Drosophila melanogaster: one gene and its partner. Changing the gene in region 1 together with any one later gene gives a genetic interaction. Each region holds a gene or a part of one and is shown on either strand. Other genes may lie near its edges.

What was found.
Region 2: of U2A (region 1) and mei-P26, changing one suppresses a phenotype caused by changing the other (phenotypic suppression), as found in Drosophila melanogaster (one study listed by BioGRID).

Annotation. Positions count from the first base shown.
Region 1 is NT_033778.4:7,674,862-7,677,892, forward strand, and holds U2A (U2A), read right to left. Parts: upstream 1,502-3,031; 5' UTR 1,375-1,501; coding exon 577-1,374; 3' UTR 501-576; downstream 1-500. Other genes in the region: CG12107 (uncharacterized protein), read left to right, coding at 34-229; LRR (Leucine-rich repeat), read right to left, coding at 2,781-2,873. UniProt on the Drosophila melanogaster protein: Involved in pre-mRNA splicing as component of the spliceosome. Associated with sn-RNP U2, where it contributes to the binding of stem loop IV of U2 snRNA.
Region 2 is NC_004354.4:9,161,693-9,166,793, reverse strand, and holds the start of mei-P26 (meiotic P26), read right to left. Parts: upstream 3,540-5,101; 5' UTR 3,396-3,539; intron 2,632-3,395; exon of another isoform or gene 2,460-2,631; intron 1,113-2,459; 5' UTR 335-1,112; intron 275-334; exon of another isoform or gene 260-274; 5' UTR 256-259; coding exon 1-255. Other genes in the region: CG44532 (uncharacterized protein), read right to left, coding at 3,768-4,319; Zpr1, read left to right, coding at 4,820-5,101.

The DNA of each region.
Region 1 (3,031 bases):
TCACTTCACTTAATCAATCCAATGCGCCCCCAGATTCGCCGGCATCAGCTGCGGGATCGTCTACCTGTACGCCATAAACTTTCAGAACGTGGACGAGGACGCCTACGGAGGGGTATGGGAGCTGATCAAGGAGGGGTTCATGACGTCGTTTGCCGGATTCCTGGTCACGTGGATCATCTTCTACACTGGCCTGCACTACGACGCCATAATGGCGGCGAAAGGATCTTAATAACACTCCCCAGCAATACCGGATTCCAGGAGCCAGGTCCACACCACACCACTCCACTCTCCACATAAGCCAGCAGCTCCTCTCGTTTTGTGTCCCCTTTGTACTCGCTGTAGATTGTTAAACTTTTAGCCAATTACGGTCATGTAAATGCATTTCTGTTGTGACCGATTGTCCCGAATCTTTCCGTGAAAGATCCTTCGGCCAGCGGTCTTAGTTGAAAACAGAAGATTCTATATGTTTTTGAGTGTCCGAAATGCAGAATGCGATGAATCAACTTTTGGTGTTTTATTAAAAAATATTGGTCTACGGTTATAAGGTAGCTGACAGATGAGCGGATAATTCTAGTCCTAGTATTCCATGGCCACGGCCCCCGAACCGTTGTGCCCCGCCCCGTTCTGTGCCACCGCCTCCATCTCGTGCTGAAACTTATCCGGCAGCTGGCCGCTTTGCAGGATCTGCGATAGACGCTCCACCTCTGCCAGAGAGCTGGCCCGCTTGATGGCCTCGCGGATGCGCTGCATGTCCTGCGGATTGGCCAGTCGTCCGCCTTCCGATCCCCTTCCCTTGCCATTCCCCGCCTCTGCAGCTATGGCGGCTGCGGCGCTCATCTTGGACTTCCGGCTAATCTCCTTTAGCACGTCCTTGCCCTGCTTGGTGCGGAAGAACTCCTGCGCCGCCTGGCGGTCCTTCTGCTTGATCTTCCTGAAGTCGAGTAGCCGCAGCTGCGGGAACTTGTAGGCCATGTACTCGCGGTAGTTGGGCTTCGTGGATACCGGGTTGATAAGCAGGCAGATGGTTTCCAGCTTGGTGAATCCGACCAGGGGCTCTAAGTCGCTCAGCTCCTGCAGGTTGTTGCCGGTGAGAATGATGGAGCCCAGGTTGGGCACCGCCTCCTCCAGCCCTTCGCTGATGCGCAGGATGCGGTTGTTGTTCAGCAGCAGGCACTTGAGGCGCGGCAGATGCGGCAGGTTGTCCAGCTTGCGCAGATCGTTGTCGGACAAGTCGATGGTATCAAACTGGTCCAGAGTTGCGCCCAGGTTCTCGATTTGTGGAATCTTATAGCCGCGCAAATCCAGCTCGCGCTCCCGGCATGGGTTTATGTATTGCATCGACTGGTTTATCAGCTCCGGCGTTAGTTTCACCATCTTGGCAGTTATAGTATGCTTACGTTTGGTCTTTACTCGGTCTTTTTATACTCTTTTGAAGCTTATTTTCCGAAATGCAGAAAAACAATTCGCTGCCGACGCGAGTTGGTGATGAACAGTTTTCCGATAGCAAGCAATGCCGGCATCGCTATCGATAGATCTAGTGGTAACAATGTTTTGGTATTTTATCGGTCTGCTGGGCTTCTACCATTCTAAATATCGTAATAATACTGGGATTACTCCAATGCTGCCAATAGGGCCCCTGATCTTTCGAAATTCAAAAATAAATAAATAACACTACTGTCCAATATCGTTTCCGTTTAATTTGAATTTCAATAGATTACAATGATGTTTTAATTGCTTAACTTTAATGAACACGTTAAGTTTCTCTTATTTCGTTTCGGGGTTTTGAATGAGAACGGGATACACTCAAAACTCGAAGTGTGTGGTCGGTGGTGGACTGGTTTAAAGTTTAAACGCTGCTCTGAATATATTCTGTGTCGTTGGTGCAAACTACTAGATCATCAAAATTGAAGTTGATCGTTTTGCGATAAGGGTAATTAGTTTTCTATAGATTTCGGTTTTCTGTTGTTAAATGGCTTAGTAATTTTATATCGGTTTCGTTTTCGCCTAGTTTCTTAAATTGTTAACTATTTAGAAAATAATCAATAAGATCGTCGGTCTCCGCCTTGTTTCTAAATAAATGCATTTGTTTCTGGCGGCATAACGCGCCTCAAAATTTGAAAACGGATTGTCGCTTAAATACTATAAATACTATAAGTATGTGTATAGGGGAGGTAAACAGAAAAGGGGAAATAATAAACCATAAAGTTTGTATTTGGAAGCAGTTATAAAAAATATTATATTTCATTTAGATTTTTTTAGGTTTAGCCCATTAAAATAGTTCTTATACACTCAATCGAATTACATAATATGTATAGTGTATCATATTCATTGCGTTATTTTCGTTAGTTTCATTGAAATTGATGTAGAGCACACGCTAAAAATATTTGTAGATTAATTCTGTATATAATTGGCACTTAACTGATTTAAATACATAAAAATATAAAATATAGTACACAAAACATTTTTAAAAATATGCAAAGGTTAATTTGGATAAAAGTATCAGGGTTTGTATCAATAAATAAATCACGTTCATTCTAAATTGCCAAATGAAAACAACACACACGCGGCATTGCACATAAATTAATGGTTCAGTACGATAAGTTGCAACCTTGTTTCCCTCTATCCTTCTGTCTTCACCATTTCATCTCATTTCCTCCTTATCATCAGTATCATCACTTAACGTTATCATCAACCCTACTATCTATCACGTGAAACTGTGGCAGGTTGGGTGAAGGACTAGGGATCGACGTGAGGGAATGTTGAGCATATAACTAGAACACTTATAAATCAACGACATCCTCCTTGGTGTAGGTCGAGTCTCTAAAACCGCGTCTGGTCGCCATGCTCTGCTGCAGTTCTTCAACTAATGTCTCCTGTGGGTAAGTGGAAGAGTGATTCTATTAGACGGCTCGATTAAATAGGAGCTAAACAGGCAAACACAAACTAGATGAAATTACAGGCAAAATGCGGCATACTGGCTAATACGACACAACTTAAGGAATACACACTATGCAGCAAATGCGAATGTTAG
Region 2 (5,101 bases), on another chromosome or scaffold:
AGTCACATCCAGACTGCCGACATTGCTGCTACCCTTGCCGGTGTCCGTATCGGTGCCCGATCCCGAGCAGGAACCAGAGCTGGAGCTAGAGCTGCTAGAACTGGAGCTACTGCTGCTCGTATTGCTCACATCGATGTCCTCCAGCACCGATGAGTTCGAGGCATCGTCGCTGAGAACGGTTTTCAGATTGGGAATCCCCGGAGGACACGGATCGACCGTGTCCGCCGCCTGGACAGGCTCCTCCAAAGTAGTCATTGTCCTACAAACAAGTTAACTTTGATTGATCAGGAATACCAGTAAAGCCGAATATTATTCTTGAATAACTACTACTCACCTTTCTTTTGGCGCTGCTCTGATACAACAAGTTCTTGTCTTTTGTCGATTCAATGGATTCCTTTTGTTTTATTGTTTTTGGGCTGCTTTTCCCGTTCCCGTTCCTGTTTCCTGATTGCAATTCCGTATTTCCTGGCTCCTAAATTCTGGTCGCTGCTTGCTTTTCTAGTCCTTTGCGCTTGCTTGCATTTGCTGCTGATCCTATTCCTGATCCTATTCCTGATCCTAATCCTGCTGCTGCTGCTGCTGCTGCTGCTACTTCTGCTGCTCCCTAATGTCCCTCCGCTCTCCCACGAGGGCCATTCCAATTGAGGTCCCTTCTATTGCCGCAAGAAAAGGCCAACAATAGTTCGTTTCGTCGGGGTAAAAATGAGCGAAGGACCTATACAATCCACGCGCACGCACACACACACACACTGATGCGCAACAAACACCCCTTCTTCTCCTCCGCTTACTTAAAATGTATTGCAAATTTGTAAACAAATTTGCGAGCCTCCTTCGGCTTTCGGCTTATCTTAGTTTTTTGGTTTTTGTTTGGTGTTTTCGATTGTTGTTGCTGATTCGCTGCTTGTCTTACTTTTCTAGATATTTAGATATTGCCGAATATTTTTAAAGCATTTGGAAACTGTGTATTGCAGTGATCCTCCTCCTGTTTGATGTGGCTGTTCTTTTGCTTCTTCTTGTTGCACAAGGACGAAATAAAATTAAGGACGAACGAGGAGACGACAACAAACACTGACGAAGAACACGGCGATGCAAATTGGACGACAGCGCCGCTCCTTTTGGTATTTAAAAAAGAACAATGGATACAAAAATCACGTTAATCGGTGGCTAGAAATTTACAAAAATGTACAAATTAATAAATATAAAACTAAAACAGAAATATAAATTCTGTAACGCAGAACAAAATATATCAAATATAGATGAACCTTACTGACATATGGAGAAAGGGAATTTGGCATTAAATCAAATGAAACATTTCTTTTTTACCCTTTCCATACGCAGTGCAACCCCCTTTAAAACGCCTCTGGCTTTTGCAACAGCACACACACACTCACACACTCTGCTGCATACTTTCCGGATGTTAGCAAAGTATATTGGCCATTTTTCAGATAAATCTAATTTCAAAATTAACGTAACTCAGCAAGAATTGGAAATGCGATTCTTATTGATATACAATAGGTAATAATTTTCTTATTCATTTTGAAGTCCTAAGTCAGTTAAGTAAAAAAAATAATAAAAATATGATTAGGTTTGAAAACTTTTTATTGATTACCAAAATTGTGTTATTTAGTGAAATATCTATATCTATCTATATCTATATCTATAATTTTATGTCATCATCTGACAAGAATTGTTGCCTTCTTCCAATTCGACTGCGACGGGACCTTAGGCGTAGTCCAATTCAAAACGCTTGGCATTTGTATAACGCTTTCCCATGAAATCGAATTTGAATTAATATAGCCGGCAAGAGCTACCAGGATGGAATGGAATAATGCCGTTTTGAGAGTTTAATGGGAAAGGATAAGAACTAGCAACATAGATTTCGTGCATTGAATGTTTATCCGATCGTAGGTTATCCAATTAATGTCTATGTTAGGCCACTAATGGAGAGAGTGGGGAAGGGGGTGGTAGTATCGGTTCCCTTTTGCGTTAAGTTTACGTTACGTTTTTCTCCGTTATGTGTAGCTATGCGCCACACACACACACACACACACACACATCAAGCTCTTCTTTACTCCTGCTTCCTGCTTTTGCTACCCGTTCACGCAGGCGCGTTCATAGTGATGACCTTTCTAGCCATTTATCCGCTAGCTGCGCAAAAAAATAGCTGCCCTAACAAGGACAAGCTGGGGCACAAAGTCCTTGAACAACTAATTCAATTGGGGCAAGGCAATTGCCTAAATAAATACGTTTAAATCAGCGGAAGTGAGCGGTAGTTTAAAATCTACTTTAGTTTTGTGCCCCCTCCAAACACTCGCAACCAAACACCCACATGCCGAATCAGCTGCATACACACAGACACAAGCGCCTACAAGCGAACACACGTGGTAAACGGAATTTAGTACCGCTGCTTTGCCCCTTTTTTTCACTGTTCTGTTTTATTTTGCTTTGCTTTATCGGACCTGGATGATTTTGTTGGTCCCCCTATCGACTTTGTCAATTCTGCGCCGCAGCTGATATTTTCTTGTCCATTTCCACGTACTTTTTGATTTATTTCACTTTTAAATGTGTGCCGCTCTCTCTCTTGCTACTCGCAAACGGTTATTTTCGAGTGCAGCGCTGGCTGGGCTGCGAAAGAGATAGAAGAGGAGCGATAAGCGATTGAGAGAGAGAGAGAGCGAAAAATCGGTTATGCGAAGAAAAGTTCTCAATTTCGTTCGTATTGGTGTGCGCAAGCTCACTCAACGCGGCAAAAAATGAAATACGAATACGAAAAACGGCACCCACACATACAGAATACAAAAAAAAACACACACACACACCATGTGAAATTAAAACTGAATTCCCTTTTTCGATTTCGGAATAAACACTATTCTTGACCGACCGGACGAACTGTCGTCGATTTAAAAGTTTTAGTTGGGGGGCGCGGGTGGTGGCTAAGACAACTCTCGACGGGGTCGCGGGGTGACAATCGACAAGGGGGGGCACTGCCGTTGTCCTTGAACGCAAAATTTCCACTTGACTACCGCCCAGGTGGTCGTGGTCAAAAGGCACTCAACACACACGCCTGCACATGCATACACACACACTCTCACAAACCGAACAGCAGACAGGAGGCGAAAAAGGTCCTTGAAATGCCTGAACACTTCACTGTCTGTCCGGCGTTGTCAGCTTTTACTGTCCAATTTAAACTGCTAACTGCTTTTTCGCAACTGTCACCACCTTATATTTAAATGTAGTTTTCGTTTTCACACGTTTTTTTGTTGGTTCTTTTTGTTTTTTGCTGCTCTCTTTTGCTTGTTACGTTACGATTTTATATTTGCCCGTCCCACACAAACGCCTACACGCAGGAACACAAGAGAACACTACACACCACAGGCAGTTATATCTACAGTTACCGTTATTCACTGATTCAGCGAATTTAGCACGTTCTGGGACATTAAAAACAACCAGAAGACCGCCAATTTGATTGGAGTCGATAATTATTGGATTAAACAAATAATTACTTTACTGCTCCCGTCGAACTTTTGTATGCAGTGCAGCTAGGGATGATAGATATATATTTCAGCACAGCCACGTATCGATAGTTTTTGAAAAGCGATGCCCTGATATCGATAGTTATATTGAATAAACGCGTATCGGTCGCCAAATATTTATTTTAAGTTTTCATTCCGCAAAGCTTACATCTTTAATAAGTATAATATAATTATATATATATATATTTAAATAATAACACAAAATACGCTTTATTATTACATGTTACATTACATTTAAATGTCAGTTTGACTCATTTCCGCATGCATATTTTGCATATCAGTTAAATAGGGTAAAATGATGGGATTAATCCCATTCCTTGTCACGCATTCCAACTCGTTTATAATATTATCCAATCTGTCCATCAATATCCGATGCTCTCTAAGCATAGAATTGAATTGATCTTCAGAATTCTGCTGCGATGCGGGCACGTGTTTAGTATCCAATTCCGATGCGTGCACGTTTTCAGTATCATTTTCCGATGCGTGCAGTTTTCGATTGAATTCTGATGTATATTCAACTACCAAAGTCTTTATTTTGACAAAGAAGTTGTTTTTAAAGTATGTATGTTCCATTTGCGTCTTTTCGTTGCGAGTTTTAATAGTATTTTCCCCTTTGGAAAATGCATCCCACAAGCTTTGCAATTTGGATAGTCGCCCTTCAAAATATCCAGGTTTAGATTTCCGTTGAGCCGGAGCCTTTTTATAATTGCGAATAATGCTTTGAATCTTCTCGCCCAAATTCATTTGCTCGGCCAACAGCGCACTAATGCTCGACGATCCGGCCATCTTAATTGAAAGTCTCTTAAAATGGTAACAGGAATATCAACAATTCAATGATACTCTAAGCTTGGCTCTTTTTGTACTGCCTTGAATTGTCGCTCTACAAAAGGACTCCAGTTATTTCTGAAAGCGCAGGTAATTTTAGGAAGAACGTGTGTCAGGTAGGTGGTATTCCCAGATTAATATGCAGATGGCCAATCAGTTTTTGTTTTATGGCCTTACCGTGTACCGCTACAGGTAAGCTCTTAAATTTATTTGTGCACCTTTTTATTTCGGGGAATTTTCTATCGAACACGAGTAAATTCTCGAGCGTTTAAGATCAACGCGCCGAGCACACTTCTGGGTATTTAAGGAGTTTTAAGCATATGCAAGCCGGTCACACGACGACTATCGACACTTATCGTCAGCGTCTATCGATTAAACTTGCACGTTTCGCCCCAAACATATACATTTCATTTAAAAAAGCACACTTAAACAGGAACTTTCGTGTGGATAGCAATCAAATCATGTCCACCGTGAGCGACCCCAACAGTAGCAATCCGCCGGAGAGTGCGGGGAACATTCGGCCGGAGCCCATTTTCCGGGAAATCAATGCGGAGCAGACCGACGAGATAGTGGAGGTCGAATCCGCCTGCATGAACTGCTTCGAAACGGGAGTCACTCGGCTGCTGCCCACCAAGATACCCTTTTTTCGCGAGGTGGTGCTCATGTCCTTCAAGTGCGACCACTGCGGCCACATCAACAACGAGATGCAGTCGGCATCGGAGATCCAAAAGTCCGGCATTCGC